Mus musculus: one gene and its partners. The protein of the gene in region 4 purifies or fractionates together with the protein of the main gene of each other region. This does not show direct contact. Links are inferred from orthologs where the notes say so. Each region holds a gene or a part of one and is shown on either strand. Other genes may lie near its edges.

Evidence for each region.
Region 1: the proteins of Mtmr2 (region 4) and Mtmr12 purify together in Homo sapiens (affinity purification with mass spectrometry; 5 studies listed by BioGRID and IntAct, with this or other methods). This does not show direct contact. The link is inferred for Mus musculus from reciprocal best matches to the Homo sapiens genes MTMR2 and MTMR12.
Region 2: the proteins of Mtmr2 (region 4) and Mtmr10 purify together in Homo sapiens (affinity purification with mass spectrometry; 5 studies listed by BioGRID and IntAct, with this or other methods). This does not show direct contact. The link is inferred for Mus musculus from reciprocal best matches to the Homo sapiens genes MTMR2 and MTMR10.
Region 3: the proteins of Mtmr2 (region 4) and Sbf1 purify together in Homo sapiens (affinity purification with mass spectrometry; 6 studies listed by BioGRID and IntAct, with this or other methods). This does not show direct contact. The link is inferred for Mus musculus from reciprocal best matches to the Homo sapiens genes MTMR2 and SBF1.
Region 5: the proteins of Mtmr2 (region 4) and Sbf2 purify together in Homo sapiens (affinity purification with mass spectrometry; 3 studies listed by BioGRID and IntAct, with this or other methods). This does not show direct contact. The link is inferred for Mus musculus from reciprocal best matches to the Homo sapiens genes MTMR2 and SBF2.

The regions. Positions count from the first base shown.
Region 1 is NC_000081.6:12,260,520-12,264,035, forward strand, and holds part of Mtmr12 (myotubularin-related protein 12), read left to right. Parts: intron 1-1,321; coding exon 1,322-1,392; intron 1,393-3,205; coding exon 3,206-3,378; intron 3,379-3,516. UniProt on the Homo sapiens protein: Acts as an adapter for the myotubularin-related phosphatases. Regulates phosphatase MTM1 protein stability and possibly its intracellular location. By stabilizing MTM1 protein levels, required for skeletal muscle maintenance but not for myogenesis.
Region 2 is NC_000073.6:64,318,656-64,322,171, reverse strand, and holds part of Mtmr10 (myotubularin-related protein 10), read right to left. Parts: intron 2,758-3,516; coding exon 2,627-2,757; intron 1,608-2,626; coding exon 1,538-1,607; intron 1,010-1,537; coding exon 939-1,009; intron 1-938.
Region 3 is NC_000081.6:89,312,496-89,316,660, forward strand, and holds the start of Sbf1 (myotubularin-related protein 5), read right to left. Parts: upstream 2,817-4,165; 5' UTR 2,622-2,816; coding exon 2,567-2,621; intron 1-2,566. UniProt on the Homo sapiens protein: Acts as an adapter for the phosphatase MTMR2 to regulate MTMR2 catalytic activity and subcellular location. Promotes the exchange of GDP to GTP, converting inactive GDP-bound Rab proteins into their active GTP-bound form.
Region 4 is NC_000075.6:13,790,679-13,794,194, reverse strand, and holds part of Mtmr2 (myotubularin-related protein 2), read right to left. Parts: intron 2,217-3,516; coding exon 2,115-2,216; intron 1,047-2,114; coding exon 963-1,046; intron 1-962. UniProt on the Homo sapiens protein: Lipid phosphatase that specifically dephosphorylates the D-3 position of phosphatidylinositol 3-phosphate and phosphatidylinositol 3,5-bisphosphate, generating phosphatidylinositol and phosphatidylinositol 5-phosphate.
Region 5 is NC_000073.6:110,307,500-110,310,923, forward strand, and holds the end of Sbf2 (myotubularin-related protein 13), read right to left. Parts: intron 2,791-3,424; coding exon 2,659-2,790; intron 1,998-2,658; coding exon 1,899-1,997; 3' UTR 514-1,898; downstream 1-513. UniProt on the Homo sapiens protein: Guanine nucleotide exchange factor (GEF) which activates RAB21 and possibly RAB28. Promotes the exchange of GDP to GTP, converting inactive GDP-bound Rab proteins into their active GTP-bound form.

The DNA of each region.
Region 1 (3,516 bases), on a different chromosome or scaffold from region 4:
GGGAAACCAGGAAAGGGGATAACATTTGAAATGTAAATAAAGAAAATATCTAATAAAAAATAATTAGCTGGGAGGTGGGAACATATGCTTTTTTATCCCAGTTCTCAAGAGACTCTGAGTTTGAGGACAGCCCAGTCTACAGATGGAGTCCTAAGATAGCCAGGGCTACACAGAAAAACCTTGTCTCAAACAAACAAAAAGAAACCCAGCAGTTTGAAGTAGTGATGGGTAGTAAGAAGATGGCTGCATGAGACCTTTTCACACAGATTTTAAGAAAAGAAGAAGAAAAAGGTAGAGGGGAGACCATGAAGGGAGGGTGTGGCTCTGAAATAACAATAGACAAGAGTTAGGGGAACAAAGTAAGGTACATTTTCTCAAACTGAATCTAGATATCATTTTTCTTACCCTCTCACTGACCCCCTCCCATGAGCATGGAAGAGTGACTGTTTGGGGCATGAGGAGACCAGGAAAGATGGGAGAGGGGTGGGGGGTAGCATGGAGGATGAATATGGCCAAGAAACATTTCCATTATTTGGTATACTAACTAAAAATTCCAATACAAAAGAAAATGTAACTGGGATCATCTTTACATTGATTTTATGACTCCCTTATGAAAACTTGCAGTTCTTGGTGGGTTTCATAAATATTTAATTGACAAAGAGTTTATACATTGACGTTACATGTTTGTTGGTGGTGCTAGAGATGGGACCTAGTTCCACATGTGAGCACTGTACCTGGACTACACCCCAGTGAGGAGCACGGTGTGGAAATCTGTTCACATGGCTCTGTGTGATGGCACCACAGCCACAGCTCAGCGCTTCCTTGCATCTGTGCTGTACCCTGATCTCCCCAGTTCTACCACTGCCTGTCTGTTGGGGACTACCATTCCACTCTGGCAGATCGGACTTGGACGTTTGTAGGCTCTCGTTGTGCAATTATGCAGCATTTGCCTTTCTGCACCTGTCTTTCGTTCAAGTTCTTCCCATATTGCTGCAGTGATAGAATGCCCTTTTCTACTGCGGAATAATATCCCAACACACACATGTACACACAAAGTTGTTCTGTTGTCAGTGAACTCCTAGATTGCTTCCATGTTTTGATGACTATGAGAACATTGCAGTGCATGTAAGAGTGTGGATATCTAGGATACTGCTTTTATCCCTTAGAATAAATGTGTGTGTGTGTGTGTGTGTGTGTGTGTGTGTGTGTGTATGTTTGTGTGTACTAGTGTATATCCGTAATTCAAACCACCTCTAAACGTCCTGCTTATAGCAGCAAGCTCAGTAACTAACGCTCCTGCTCCCTTCTCTTCCTTGTGTAGACGCTGCCTGAAGAAAGCAATCGAGATTACGGAATGCCTGGAAGCGCAGAACGTGAACGTCCTCCTGTTGGGTAATAAGGTTTCCAACCCCATTCACCAAGAGTCAGCTTTTGTGTGTATGGTTGGCAGAGCGGATTAGTTTCCTTCCCCGCCACCCCCGTTTCCTTCACCTATAATCCTTTGCTCAGATCTCAGTGGCGCAGTGTACGTGGAACTCGGCAGACCTGCTCACAGCCCAAGAAGGAATTGTTCCGTGTCTTTACCCAACAGTCTTTGGGACACCCTTTTCCCCGGGGGACTTGTAGCTGCTTAGATGACTGTTCCTGTCTGTGTGCTGGCAGCTTGATGCAGTTGCCATAGAAGGGAAAGCAAATTGGAAGATATTCCTCTTCGTGGTTTCTAGACCACCCGGTACTAATGCCTTAGCCCTGAGTGCCCGTGCTAAGCACCGTCCGTGTGCAGCACTCTGCTTTACCCTACACACTTGCACACTAATGGGAACACCACCTTAAGCATATTCTTACACGGACACAGAAGAGTAGTATTTAAGTTTCAAATAGCTAGTAAAAAGGAATGAGAACTCAGGCGGGAGAGCCCAGGACCAACTCTAGAGCTGTGCAGTGTGTGCAGTTTGGTTCTGATGGAAGTGAGATGTCCCCAGAGGTATGCCATTGCCTTCAAGATGGAACTGTCAAAGACTGACGCGTTAGAGGTCAGATAAAAACATCTGTCTCTTGGGCAGAGAAGATGAGTCCGCCAGTAGCTTTGGAAAACAGACAGCAGACAGGCAGGCGTGGGAGCATGTGCTTATAACCCCAGCCCAGGGAGGAGGAAACAGGAGCCCTGGTGCTCATTGGAAAGGCAGGCCAGCCTAACCCTAAGTTCAAGGCCAGTGAAAGGCCTGTCTTGGAGGGCAGGAAGAAGGTAGACGGTACTCAAGGAACAGCACACAGAATTGTCCTTTGGCCTGGCCTCCACATGTACCTGCACACATGCAGGTTCACACACACACATGCTTATATTCATGAGACTGTTTCTATTAACCCCAGGTGTTTGCATGGTTGTTAGAGATGAGTGTAAGCCTGAGATTTAGGGCATTGTAATTCTAGGGTACGGGAAGGAAGAGTGCTAACAGCATGATTATATCTCTAGGTCTAGTTCTCTAACCTGAATGATACTCTCACCATCTTCCTTGAGGACATTTTTAAAAAGCAGTATGAGTTGGACCTTTTTGGAAAGGGGGAATAAATAGGAAGCATGGGAAATGTAGACCTGGCTTTAGCATGACTGTGGATGTATTTGCCTTTGCTCTAAGTCAGCTGTGCTAGGTAACTCTGTGAATAGACTTTAGCCTTGTAGATTGTATGAAGTGCATTCCAGGTGGGCATGTGGAGGAATATCAAGAATTCCTCCTGTAGGCTTGACAAGGAGAAGCAGGCGCCTCTGTGTTCCTCAGACAGAACAGGAAAGAGACTCATGGCTGAAAAGTTCTGTAGTGTAAAGCAATCCAAGAAGGATAGGAAGTGGAAGACAAGGGCCGGCATCTGGAGCAGTGAAAGGTGACTCTCCCCCAGAGGAAGGGAGGTAGGCCCCGTCTGCAGTTAGGCAGGCTATTGGTGCATAGCTGTTACTGTTCTCTTTTATGGCATCTACAGGCGCTGTGTGCTAAAAGTTGATTTTTCAGGGCTGCCTTTGTTCAGTAAGCAGATCTATGCTTACCACCCCTGTGTGCTGGGACCTGTCCTGATAAGCCACAAGCAGCCTGTCTCCCCAACTGGCCCTTGTCTATAGGAAGTAATAACCGATCTTGCTCTTAGGAACCCTGTTAGCTGTGTGGGATGAGAACACTGCCTCTTTAACACTCTGCCCTCCTCCTCCTTGTAGAAGAGAATGCTTCTGATCTCTGCTGCCTCCTCTCCTCTCTGGTGCAAGTGATGATGGACGCCCACTGTCGAACCAGGACTGGATTCCAGAGCCTCATCCAAAAGGAATGGGTCATGGGTGGCCACTCTTTCTTGGACCGCTGTAACCATCTCCACCAGAGTGACAAAGAGGAGGTGAGTGTCCTCACTGCGGACAGTTGCAGTCCTGGGGAGAAACTCCCTCTCACTGGGCCAGTGTCCTCCGTCAAATATGCTTGTCAGGTACAAGTCATACCCCACAGACACCAGGAAGCTGCTCCATCACCTCAGGAT
Region 2 (3,516 bases), on a different chromosome or scaffold from region 4:
AGCCTAGCCTACACAGCAAGTTTCAAACCAGTCAAGATTATATAGTGAAATCCTGTCTCAACTGTCCCCATCACCTCTTAAAACAAAGCAACCTTTAGAATGATGAAAACTTCTATCACTGGGGCTGGGAAGATGGCTCAGTGGGCCAGGGTCTTGCTGTATAGACGAACGATGTGAGTTTGTACTTAGGACCCATGTAAAAGCCAGATAGAGTGGTAGGACAGGCATGTGAATTCCTGTGTTCCCCTACTGAGAGATGAGTCAGAAGCAGCAGGGTTGGAAGCCTGCAGGCCAGTTAGCCTGCTGTGCACAGCAATGAACAAAAGAAGCCCTGTCCAACGTGAAAGGCAAAAACCACCATTCAGGGTTTTCCTCAGATCTCCTGGGCGACACTGCATTTGTGTGACCACAGTCACAAACAAAATACTGAGGCTTTCTATTTACTAAGTTACCAGTATGCTCAATATGTATCATACCCCAACTAATGGGTTAAACCACATTAAAGTGTTAGCAAAGCAGGCTCAGTACTCCCAAAGCCTGTGTGCATGGAGAAACTGGGGCTCATTCCCAATAAGATGAGAGCACTCAGTTGTAAAGAGGAGAAAAATCATTGTCTATTTCATTTGAATTTGTACTTTCTAATTATTTCCTTAGGTTCACAATTTAATGTGAATAAGAAATAGCAAGATTAGAGAGGATGCCTTGTCCAAATTAACATTGAATATCAGTCAGGTCAGGGATGGGGACCCATTTTCCCAGTAAAGAGGAAAGACGTACTAAGTGGGAGAGTCCAGCGTGACAGGACACAGTCACAATCTGCAGTGTGCCGGGTGGTGCGGCAGCACTGTGGCAGAAGAGACAGCTAAGACTTATGTTAATGTGAACAGCCAGGAGCCACAGTGGGCTCCTATAGTATTCTCAGGAATGATTTTAATTACCTTGCAGGACTACAGAGAGACGCTGGCTTTCAAGAATGTACACAAGTTCTGCTGAGTGTTTAAGGAAAGCCCTGAAGAGAAAGAAGGAAAAAACCCTGTTAGATATCAAGCTTGTGCCACATACGCACGCCTTTGCCTGCTGTGACGTCTTGTCCACCTGCATAAATATATTTTAACCGTGCTTAGAATCAAGCAAAGCTCCCCATCCTCTATGCACACACTTTTGATTTTTATGGCTCTCTCTGGTATTAACAGGATGATTCTTTAGGGAATAGTATCAGGGAAATTCACCAACCACGTATTACAAAACAGGCTGATTTACATAATGTTCAGGAAACACGGCTTCAGAGGCAAGGATGAAGTAGTGGTTGTCAGAGGGCAGGGATCCAGGGGAAGACTGGGGAGAGGCTGAAGGGGGCGCTAATGAAATCTACAGATGATGGCAACATTGGTGGTCAGGCTGGATGCTGCCCTCCAGCTAGATAAGGTTACCCTGAGGGATGCTAGGTGAAGGGCACGTGGCTACCTCTACTATCTTTTACTTCATGTGAGCTTGTAATTATTTCAAAATAAAAAGTAAAAAAGAAAAGTCGACAAACCTGACGTACTCTAACCACCGGGTACTTTCCAGTGAAGACAACCATTTCTCTTCAGTTTCTTCAAAAGGCTCTGCATTACATAGAACAGTGCTGTTAAGCTTAGCTTCATACAGTCAACATCAGAGTTAAGCAATGTCCCACACACATTAAACAATTAGCTTTGAGGAAATAGCACACACTTGTACTGCAGTCAGCACTTAGGAAGACATGCTTATGATTCTTGTTTTTGGTTTTTTAAAGACAGTGCCTTGCCATGAAGCCTAGACTGGACTCAAAACTCTGGGTCCCCTTTCTTCACCTTCTCAAATGCTGAAGTCATAGACATGGGCCACTGCACCAAGGTCACATGCTATATTGAAGCAGAAGACAGCATTCCCTCAAGTCTTGTCTTCTACCCTCTGGCATTTTCAAGGAAATCCTGCCGCCCCAGGTCCCATCTTCCCGATGTCTCTTCGCCTTCCCAGCTGCCAGTGTCATCTCTGTGTGCATGTAGCCCTGGATCAAGCACTGCCCTGCCCAGGGTGCACATAACCACTCAAGGCCACACACTGCTAAGATCTCCTACCATAACAAGGCTTACTCATCATCCAAGACCTGCCACAAAGCCAGTGCTCCACAGGCCTTCTACTCCAAAGATGCTTCCATGAGACATCTTCTCAGAGCAAAGTGCAACCCCGAGTCTATGAGGCAGAACTCTAAGGGCACACATACAATACACACTCAGCTGAGCCACTCATCCTGAAATTAAGCGTGTGCACTGGGATCTCAGTTATATCTGTCTGCTGAGCAAACGCTTCTTTAAGGTATCTATATCTTTCAGGATTTGGGGGGAATTTAACAGGTTTGTTTTTTTTTCTCTCCAAAACCAAGAGAAATTTAGACTTCATTTTCTAGGGATTGAGTCTCTCCTTAGATGTATCTTCTATATTTTTAAGGAACATCACTTTTCCTGATTGTTCCAACATAATTTTTTATTACCATTCATTGATAAATAATAGATAGATAGATAGATAGATAGATAGATAGATAGATAGATAGATAGATAGATAGAAAGAAATAGATACAGGCACAAAATAAAAATGTCATTACCATTTACACACAGTTGCTTAAGTTTTACAAATGCCGCTTGTATTTCTTGGATGTTGGGCAAAGCCTTATCCAAATCTGACTTGTAAACATCACTTCTCTGTGGATGACTTTTAGTTATGGCATTGCAGATCCTAGTAAAGACAAAATCCTTTAGTATCTCTTCATCCATTTCTTCAACAGTAGACATTTACATTCAAAAGTATTTTATGCTTCCTGGGATAATCATACAATGGTGTCAGCCTATGGGGCCTAGTAAGGATGACAGGCAGTAATTAAACGGCCATCACACATAAAGCATATGGAATGTGAGGTGCCTCAGAACTAAGAGGTAGAGAGGCCAAGGCGGTGGGGTGAAGCGTGTTCATGGAGGAGCATGAAGAAGGTGACGCAGGAGGGAAGAGCCCTGTTGGGAGAGTGAAAAGACCAGGTAATTTCAGGTGGCTGGAGCCCAGGAAATGGAACATAGAAAGAGAAACACAGCACCAGTAACACACGGGGGCGAAGCTGGGGGGGCAGTCCGTGGGTTTATAACGTTCCTGGAAAACTAAGTGGACAAACGGGACGAAGACAGAGGCATCTGGCCGGAAGACATGCTGGGCAGATCCCTGAGTTCAGTTTTAGACATAAAGTTTAAAGGGCCTTGAAGGTGTCCACATGGCAGACATCAAGCTAACTAGAGATGATGTCAATGTGCTGGTTACTAAAGCCAGTCGTTGGTGTCCTTCTGCAGAAAGGAACACAGATCAAAAGGAGAAGTCATGAGAGCCAGCCGTGGAGGATGCAGCCCCAGCAAGGAACAAGGCAGTAGCTGAGGATCCTGGGCACTGAGAGCTGGTCAACTGTAAACAGCTATGAGAGCAAGCAAGAGAAGCTTCCTCCTAGTAACAGGG
Region 3 (4,165 bases), on a different chromosome or scaffold from region 4:
CACACAGCCCTACTCACCAGGTGCGGGGTCTATGCTGTGCCATCTACACCCTCTACTTTATAGAGTCTTAAGGGAAAGGGTTACACACAGCTCAGGCATTTATTGTCTGTAGCCTTGCCCACAAGTCACCAACTGTAACCATTAGCAACCAGAATGCTACCTCTCTAAAAAGGCATTCATTACCAAGGTTTGACTCCTAGCAGCTGCAGAGAAAAAGTTCTGATTCAGAACAAAACTGAGATATCCTCTCACGCGTATTCCCTTAATCTAAAGGACCCTGCATCCTAGGTCAGTCAGCACACAGAGGGCCCTTCACCTTCTTCAGAAACACCTACCTAGCGTTCTTACATCGGCTACTCAGATCTGAGATGTAAATTATCTCCTTGGGCCAGTCCTGTGCTATATCTTTACGCATAAGTGTTCCTGACAGCCTCAGAGCAGCTCCATGTGGCCCATTCCATATAAAGACGGGGAAACTGAGGCGAGAGTGCACGGTAACTGGCGCAAGCCAACGGTGAAGAGTGACAAAGGAAGGACAACTAATCTTCAGTGTGCTCCTCAGTTTGGGGTCTTTTGTTCTTGGTACTCACATCCCTTGCCTTATAGATCTGCCTTCAGCCCACACCCAGAAACCCGATTCCAGGCTGGTTCCTCAAAGGAATGCCTTGAAGCCGAGTGGTCAGCCAACAACCAGTCAACTCTGACCCTAGAAGGCAGTGCTTAGAGAGCTCACTGGCCTGCAGTCGCCACAGTGATGGGTAATCTGAGAATTACTCCATCACACCGGTGATTCAGGAAAAGTAGCCACCTCTGGCCTCAGCCTTCTATCCCGTCCTGTACAGAGGTCAGAGGTCCACACCTCTTGTACAGCTGTATCAGTAAGCCCCCACGTGCCACAGCAACTTCCCATGGAGCTACCCACACATCACCCTCAATTTTACTCCACTCCCAGCAGACCTCCCCAACCTGGCCTTTACCTACATTCTGTTTCACAGGACCTTCTTCATAACCTTCTCACCACCATCCAAGTCCATTCCATTCCTCCAGCCCTGGCCCAGCGCCCAGCCCGAGACCCCAGCCAGCCCTCAGCCAGCTTGGTTTCCTCACTCTCCAGCAGTACTCCTCCTCCGTTCCAGAGGAGGCACCTCACTGGCCTTCACTTATGCCTTGGAGCACAGGTTCTCCCTGTGTGTGCCAGTACAACACTGGTGGCAAGCCTCCTGCTCAAGGAGGACAGGGGGATGAACACAATGTGGTCTCTGCCTTTGAGAACTCCCTCTTTGGAGGGAAAGACAGATGCTCGGGACTGAGTGCCAAAAGATATAGACTTGAATACATGAGAGCAGAAAGAAGCGAGGGTACTGAACAGATCTGAAGACAGAGGTGGTGGTGGTGGTGGTGGTGGTGGTGGTGGTGTTTTCCAGTGCATACAGGGTCCATCATGTGGACATTAAACAAAGGAACAGTCCTAGTGGAGACTTAGCAAGAAGAAAGGCAAAGAAGAAAGTTTGGGTCCTGAATGGTGACAGTGACAGCTGGTCTGAGAAGCAGCAGAATAACTGTGTGGAATAGATAACTGGAACACGGTAGGAAGCATTACATCTAGGGATTAAGGGGCTACCTCATCTGGCCACAGTTGTCCCTAAGATACCGCCCCTCTGCAGGTGGACTCTGACAGCCAGAGTACAAGTCCCAGCCTCCATTCCAGACCCACACACTCAACTTCTCTATGCCAGATTCTATGCTGAAGATAGGGCAACAGCAAGGCAATCTCAGTGGGCTATTGGGAGAAATGAGATCATACACACAAAGGGTTGTGCAGGGCCTGGCACACTGAGGACTCCAGCCAACACCCCCCAACACTGTTGTCTCCATGGCTGTGGTTGATGTCACTGTCAGGCTCCGTTTTCTCCTACCCCCAGGACTGAAGGGCTCTCAGACACAGGTGCTGACTCCAGATCAGGGCCTCCTAGATCACCACACTGATCCCCCGCTGAGGGGCCTGGCTTAGAGGCTTGAACACCAGGAATGCTCTCCTCCAAGTGTGACACTTTCGTCTGAAGTCCGGCTCCATACCACCGACGAACCCCTCCCCCTCCACTGCACCCCATCAAGCGGTGCTTGAGGCTTCAGACCTAGCACTGGGTCAGAGAAGCTGGAAGACGAAAACGTTCCGCCCCCCTCTCTGAAATTCCCAGACCCAGCCACCGGCAGGCGGCCAAGGCGGGGTGAGCCCATCCCACCCAACTTGGAATCGGGGAGACCGAACTGCAGCAGGGTCCTCCAGCCTCCCACGCCCGAGCGACACGCCCCTGCCCACCTCGGAACAGCGACGCAGGTGCCCAGGTGTAGGAGGGATGTTTCTTACACAGGCCATGTCGTCCGGGGTCCTCGCGGGTTGCCCCGACGCCACCGTGGCCAATAACTACGGAGGCCTCTTTTCGAGAGCCCCGAGAGCTCGGCCCCAACTCCTGACCCTGCCTCCGGCCGGGTCTTCTTAGCTTCGAGTCCTCAGTCCCAGTCCCTCAGTCCCCCCCAGCTCGTCCCCCTCGGCGCTGAGACTCACCGCGCGGGTGCGGCCCGAACGCCACCAGCACGAAGTAGTCCGCGAGCCGCGCCATGGCAAGGGGCGCAGGCGGGCTCCACGGCTCGAGGGTTCGATGGCGGCGCGCTCATGGCCCGGCGCTGGCCCTAAGCTGCACACTTGGGACACCCCGGGCCCGCTCCTCTGCGGCGCCGCTGACCAGGGCTTCCGCCGCCATCTTCCCAGCCAGCCGGCCCGCCCGGGCGCTTCAGGAGCCTGCGCAGTTCTGCCCCTCCCGTGTAGGCGGGACCTGGCACAGTGCGCTTCCATTGGGCCACTCCGCATGGGGCGGGTCCAGAGGGCGCTGCCCCGCCTACTACCTCATGCTCAAGGACCGGCTCAACCCTTTGGGCGGGTGAAGCTTACGGCGGCCGGGGCGGGTCAGCTACCCTGGTCCCGCGGCCGACATTTCGACCTGAAGCACCACCGGTCAGGATTAGGGCATACTTCCCCGTCGGAACTGAAGCCCCGGAATGAAGGGAGACCTGGACCTCACCCTTGGGAGAGCCTAACTCCGAGGGTCAGGGGCGTGGTCCAGCTCAGTCTGCCTGAAGCAAACCAGTGGAGCTCAGGCCTTGTCCAGCCAGTCTCCCAAACTAGAGGACCGAGCTGGGGGATGGAGGAGTGTCATGGCTTCGCCACTCACCCTGCCAATCTTATGGTGGCCAAGGGAAAGACTTTACAGGCTTTTTTTTTTTAAGTTCCTAGTGCAAAAAGGGGCAGCTAGATATTTCACCATTGGATGGATGGGATATCCAACACCTGCATTTAAAAAAAAAAAAAAAAAAGTTCCAGCTTGAGTCACCTTCCTGCGAAGTTGGATCGCCCTGGAGGTCAGGGGGTTGGCCAGGCCTCTTGCAGTAATACAGGAATGGACACTTGTAGGAGAGGCAAGGTCCTTGACCAGGAGATTAAAGGGGGAGGACTAGGCTTGCTTGTTGATGAGTTTAGTTTTCTGTGAGAACTGAAAGACAAGCCACCTATTAGCATCGTGTTCCCTCCACCTGCAAGATCTGGAGAATGAATGAAAGCAATCTCAGGAGAGACGAGTCCAGTCGTCAGTGTACGTGTATAAAGAGTCTCGGCCCTTGAGAAGCTGAAGCAGGTCGTTCATGAATTCCAGTCCAGTCTCCTTGGCTTCATCAGGAAACCATGTGTCCAAAAAACAGGAGATATAAGGGCCTTTCTGGAGAGATAGTTTAGAGGTTATGGGAATCTGTGCTGGATTTGCAGCACCCTCGCCTGCAATTCTGGGTCCAGGGGGATCTGTCGCCCCCTTCTGGCCTCCGGAACGTGTTTGTGGTGGTGCGTGGACATACATGCAGGGAAAACACCCATACACATAAAGTGAAAATGTCTTTTTTAAGAGAGGGGGATGAGCTTGGTGGTCATGGTGGTGGTGGCAGCGCACGCCTTTAATTAAAGCGCTTGGGAGTCAGAAGCAGATGGAGTTTGAAGCCAGCCTGGTCTACGGAGCTAGTTCCAGAACAGCCAGGAAGCCCTGTCTTGAAAAAAATAAGATAAAATAAAAATAAATAAAAGAGGGGAAGAGGAAAAGACTGTCCTAGGAAAGTTCTGTGC
Region 4 (3,516 bases):
TTCGCATGCTTCAGTTTACCCATGCTATGCAGATATTTCGTATCTTTACACCATGCTTACCACATGGTTTAGTAAACAAAACCAGTATGCAAAATGTTAGTAACACACAGAGCACACGCTAAGCAAATTCTTCTCTTAGCCTCCCTTCACTCACTCATTCAACAGACACAGTCTGTGACATAGCAGGCACTGCTAATCCTGATGACATCATCAGTGAGAAACTAGTCAGTACCTTCCCTACTGCAGCACAGGCAGTAACAATACCAAAGAAATAACAGATGATTCCTTCAAAAAGACAGACGAAAGAGCCTCAACAAAGAAAACCACATGTGCCATTAATAAATACTCATCAAATGTAAATGCATCCAAATGGAGTGGGACCTATCTGAGAAGCCATCAACAGTAATTAAACTTTGATCTATATGTGGCAGGGAGACAGAGCTCAGTAGGAGAGTTTGCCCAGCACAGGTGAAACCATGAACTCAATCCTTACAAGCACCCACACAGACACCAAGTTAAGAAGTAAAGTAAGGGTACTAACTAAGGTAGGTCACATGCTGCCCTTAGCATAAGGGAATGCATCTCTCTATCCTCTGTGAAGAATAGAACTCAAATTAGAAGCAGTACAGTTACTGTTTTATTTCATAAATTATAGAATGCCTAAAATGAAAAAAATGAAATGAATGATATTACGACAAGTTTACACATACTGATCCCACTTTCAACTTTATAGTGAACAAACATTTTTTTAAACAAAGTGATACTTATGAGCTAGATAAAGACTCATAAAGGATCACTAGTGTATTCTAAAAAGCAACTCAAAGGAAATGAAAAGAAACCCACCAAACCAGATTAGCTTCCAGTTAAAACAAAACGAAGAGACACTGAAAAGAACTCCTTACTTTGATCAACTGTCATGAAAATAACATAGAACACAAAAGCTTGAAGAGAAAAGCACGTACCTGCCTTCTGTACTCTAGAAGGGGGTCATACAGTTTCCACCCATTTTCGGGGAATACTTCTTTATACTCAAAAGCAAAAAGAGGCTACAAAATAAACAGCAGTTAAAAAGGACATTAAAGAAAGTATTGAATCAGAAATATGTCCCTGCAATACTTCTGTTTTGATTTACTTATTTGCAAGAATATTTTCTATTGTCCCTTTTAAATAGTTTTATGACTGAAATTACTATTTTATTTACAACACTAAATATCTTTATATGCTTTAAAAAGTACAAGAAAACACAAGACCCACTTATAAAATTTACCAAATGCTAACCTATTTCTTTTAAATATTCTGGTACGTTTTGTAGGTTTCACTCTAAGTAATGAATGGCATCTCCAAGAAGGTGCTTTCCAACAGAAATAACTGGTCCAACACTAGAAAGCAGCAGTAGTGGCTCTAAAGTCCATACTATATGCTCTAATACACTGAACAAGCTTTTTATACATTGGCATATAAGCTTTTTAAACATGTAACTAGAAAAAAAACTATGGTGTTTAAAAAAATAATTGCAACTCAAGTGAGGAATCCAGTGTTAATTCCAGTGCTGGGTCAATTCCCTGCCATCTCCATTCTGGCTCTAACATGGTAATGAATATGGCTGCCATGGAGGTGAAATGCTATCATGCAGTTGAGAGAATCTAGCACAGCTAAAATACTCACTAGTAACTGTCCCAAACTCCTAGTCCTAATGCCAGCTCCCACCCAGGGAGACTTCAAACTCTAATGAAAACTACATAAAGCTTTTATCATAGAAACATCCAATAAAAAATATTACATAAGCCAAGATGGTGATACAGGCTGAAATCCAGACCTCATGGAGCTGTGGCAGGAGAAGCAGCCTTGTCTCAAATAAAGACACATAAAGAAAACCACTCTGGTACAGCACTTGCCTAGCATGTGTGAAGCCCTGGGTTCAATCTCTAGTTCACTCTTTCCACCTCCCAAGAAATCAACATGTACTTATAGAATGTCATTACTGAAATGGACCTTGGACACAAGATAACCTCTATCTAAGTGCCAAATCAGGAACAGAAAAGGGAGAATCTGGACAACTTAGCTGAGTCTGTCCACACTAATAATTACAATACAGATTATAGAGAAACATTTACCAAGCCATTAGACACAGGAAATGCATATTTCATTAGATTCTCAAATATGGATCTTCTTGTTCGCCCCTCCGGTTTATGAGCAAATCGCAAGTTCCTGATATCCTAGAAAAGATATAGTATCTAATTAAATCACTTTGTTCCTTTTTAATGAATAAATGAGGTAACATGGAAATGTTGGGTAAAGGGAAGATCTGCATTTACAATACAAAAACAGCTCCTGTAAGCAAAAAAATAACGATGGTTCACTGGGAGCGAAGAAACCCAGAACACTCTACTACACGGCAGAAAATCCTCCCGTGCTCCCTCGCTCAGCAGGGCCAACGGAGAAGGAAATGACAGAAGTACTGGCACACGCCCACTATCAACATTTGTTTTTTCTGGGCAGGAGAGATGGCTCAGTAGGTAAAGTGCTTGCCTCAAAAGCATAGGACCATACAATTCCCAGAACCTAATTTTTAAAAATAAAAACCACAATCAGCTGTTATTATATTTCCATCATGTAGAGCAATCATTTCTTATTCACTCTTGCTTCCTAAGGCTCACTTCGTGTCTCTTCTGCTAGACAGGACTAACTGCCTTTCCCTTCCTGCACTTCAGTGACATGCCTGCTAGCTGCCTATCACCGCCCAACTCAGCCTACGCTGGATCTCAGGGACTCCCACTTGTGTACTCAGTCGTTTCTCAGGCTCAGGCAGTGACGTCAGTAGCCACAGCATCATAAAATAGAAGTCTCCATTTTTATTTAAGTATTTTAACCTAGGCAAAAGTTGAGTTTAGGGGCTGGTGAGATGGCTCAGTGGGTAAGGGCACCCGACTGCTCTTCCGAAGGTCTGAAGTTCAAATCCCAGCAACCACATGGTGGCTCACAACCACCCGTAATGAGATCTGGTGCCCTCTTCTGGTGTATCTGAAGACAACTACAGTGTACTTACATATAGTAAATAAATAAATCTTTAAAAAAAAAAAAAAAAAAAAAAAAAAGTTGAGTTTACTTTGTTACAATCTCATTATTGTTGAGATTAGGCCGTGTCCTACTGTTACTCAGTACTGTAAAATATGAAATATATACTTATAAACAGTTTTGCTTGTTTTTAATAATGACACTCCATTTTACAAGCAATTTTAGACTTCATTCCAGGAATGAAAGATGACTGCAGCCGGGCGGTGGTGGTACACGCCTTTAATCCGAGCACTTGGGAGGCAGAGGCAGGCGGATTTCTGAGTTCCAGGCCAGCCTGGTCTACAGAGTGAGTTCCAGGACAGCCGAGGCTACACAGAAATCCTGTCTTGAAAAACCAAAAAAAAAAAAAAAAAAAAAAAAAGAGATGACTGCATCGAGGAGGAGAGCACCCAGAAATGATACTATGTGTCATACACCACCCATCCATCCAGTAGAGAAGGA
Region 5 (3,424 bases), on a different chromosome or scaffold from region 4:
CTGACTGCAGCTATGGAGAGCGGCTCAATGCTATGAGCAGACCCGCTCAGCCCCCAGGCTGGCCACTGAGGAGGCCTGTGAGCCCCCAGCTGAAGCTCCTGCCTGACATAAGGACCAGCATTCCTTAAAGCTGTGTGAGGTAAACTCCAAAGATGATGGACAATATCCCCTGCAGAAACCAACTCCTCAACCCAAAAAAGTCTATGACCCAGGAAGACTTCAGTGTCTTCTGCCTGAAATCAATATAATCTGCCACTCGCCAGGGGAAACGGTGGCCCAGGAGAGGCAGGAGCTTGGCACCTGGAACAGCTTACTAGGGGTGCAGAGAGGACGCCTGAGACTTTCCCCAGATGCCGCAGGGCTGGATCAGAACCCAGAAGCTCACGGCCACACCCCAGCATCTCTGTGCTTCCGAGGCCCAAATGGTCACAGTTTAGATGGAGCCTTGGCCCCATGCCGCTCCTGAGTACTGCACAGTGCAGAGCCAACCTGACATCACAGCACTCAGAGGTTCTTTTTCTTAAGAAATAAATTTAATTCTGGGTGGTTAGTGAACATACGGCAGGCGGTGCCGTCATGGAAGTTAAAAGACTCCAGTTACAAAAGCAGTAGTGGGCACAGCTTCAAAGAGCCGAGAGGACAGTGGGCTCCAGAGTCTACAAAGTACAAAAATTATTTCATATACAAAGAAAATACAAGTAATGTGCAAAAACCATTTCACAGGTGGCAAATTTATAAAATGAATATGATAAAAAACTCCTTCATTTTTATTTCCCAATTTCTTATATATTAATACAGTTCTATTTTCTAGTGTGTTGATAATTTTTAATTTGAAAATTTGATTTATTTTTAATCTACAAAGTAGTTTTTATTATTTAAAAAGGAAACAACCTTTTATTACTAAAATCTTATGAATCAGTTTAGTTATTTTTATTTTAAATTATAAGCAGGCTATCTGAAAAATCAGGATATAGAAATCATATATACATATTTTGAAATATTAGTTTGGTATTTAACATATTAACATTTCAAAACACACACACTGACCAAGTTGCTAGGGCCCGGTGGCAGCGGTGGCCGCTCAGGCCCACCACAGATGAGAAGCATCCTTGAGTTTGAGGCTGGAGCAAACAAGGTTATGGTAACTGGGAGACCTTAGGAGCAGTTCTTCTCACAAGCAGTGCTGTCTGGTTAGCTGGCCTGTCCCCTGTGTGCTGGCCTGTCCCATGTGTCTCAGTTTGTCCAATGGCTCCCTGGTTAGTTCAGTGCTAGTGTTCTGTGGGCTCGCACGCTTGTTACTTCACAGAAAGCTGTGGGGAACAGGAGAGAACGCAGGACCCAGGCACTGTGTCCTCAGAGACTCGTGGTTTGAAGCAGTGTTTCCTGCACTGGCCCAGGTCATTCTGTGCTATTGTTAACCTCCTCTGCCTGCCACTGAGTAGTGACGTCTCCTGCTGCGAAGCTCCCGGGCAGGAACCATGAAAGCACCTTTGGCAGCACCAGGGAACCGACATCTCAAGGATCAGGCAGTAGGAGGAGGTGTGTCTGATGGGACACCTATGCGGTCGGTGTACAGCGACCTTTGAAGGTTTGGATTTCTGTGGTCCAAGTTGTTGAAGTTATGGCTTTGGAGAACAGTCTTCATGGAGGAGGACTCAGGTGGGAGCCACCTTGCCTACATGACAGCAGCAGGTCCAGAGGCACCCTCTCCACTTCAATCCTGTTGGAATGCTGCAGGGAGAGGGAGGGCCAGGGCTCCCACCCAGACCTGTGTGACATGCCAACTGCTTCCAGAGGGGACAAGGTAAGCAGAACCTCAGGCCCTGGGATGACCGTCATCGCCCTGTCAGGCAGATGAGTGAGTTCCTCTACCTTTCGTGCTTGTCTGATCCTGGGCATCAGGCATCAGAGATGCAGCTCTGGATCCTGTCCATCCATTGCTGGGCGCTCTGCCCATCCTGGGCACAGAAGTTATACACTCGCTTGCTGGTCTTGAGCTACAGAAACAAGCGACAGAAGGGTAGACATAAAGCAGGACTGTTCTTTTGGCTTTGGGTGAGTAACAAACTAATCCCATCCTGGACAGACAGAACGGCCGGTTCTAACATTGGGTTTGGGGGTACTTTAAGGGCTATGCAAACAGATGACTTATAATTAATTAGTCCCTGACTAATAATTTAAGTAGTCCTTAAAATGAAGACAGTTTCATAAAGTAGATTACATTCTCCATCCCTCTACAGGCTATGATGCTGTTCCCTGGCTCAGGGTTTCTACTATGGCTCCATATGAAAAAAGGGGGTGGCACAGTTCCCCTGAGAGCTCTGGCATACTGTTCTTGCTTTGGTGCTGTGTAAGAGGCCAGAGGCACCAGCTGGTCCTGGGACCCCGCGCCATCCATGCCCAGCTCCTTTATTAAAGGCAATTCCGGGAAGAGGTCCTTTCCCCACTCCAGTGACTATGGGCAGTGACAGTGCTGTAGCAGAGGCAGAGGAGGGGACAGTGCTGCTCAGTGTGAAAGGTAGTCATGGGGATTCATTAGCCACTCACCCACAGCTTTAATTAAACACTCCTTTTTATTGACTACCAACTCCTTGGGGGCCCTATAATGTTTGGAGGTCATGGAGAGACATGCAGAAAGAACAGGAAAGAGGAACTTACATCAAAGAAAGCCTTGTCACTTGTATACTTTGGGGCTCCCATGCTGGGGCCGGCAGGGATAACCATTTCTACTTCAGCCAGATCAATGTGGCCTTTACAACTCGTGTCTTCCCCCGAATCATAGTATCGCAGCTAGGACCAAAAAGAGACAGACAGGACACAGTAAGGGGAAATGACCCGGCTTTCCAGACACATCTGACCACATCCTCTGCACCTTGCTTGTTGGTGCTGACTCTGCATGGAAGAATACTCTAGCATTAACAACGCAGGCTGCCTCTTGTACACACCTTTAATCCCAGCACCTGGAAGGAGAGGCAGCAGATCTCTGTGAGTTCAAGGCCAGCCTGAACCTCAAAGTGTTACACAGAGAAACCGTCTCAAAAAACAAAACAAACAACAAAAAGGAATTCCTGGATGCTGCTTTCAATCTAGTTGAAAAGGTCAAAGGACTCACCAGCAAGTCACAGAGGGCTTGAAACGCCACTGAGCTAGACGGCTGGAGTCTCCCCAGCCTGACCCAACCAAGGAAGTGACATGAGTGCCGTCTTTACTCCGCCACTGAGCACTGGCTAAGTGACAGCATGGCACTGGGATGGACAAAGGACAAGGAAGGCTTCCCAAGCAACAGGAAGTTGGAAGGAGAATGCAGTCTAAAATGGCACTGAGGGACATTACAGAGAGCTCCCAGCTGCCAGCTCTTGGAGATGTTTAAGTTTGGCACAATAACCATGTATTACTTTGGAATAAGAAGAAATGACGAAGTATT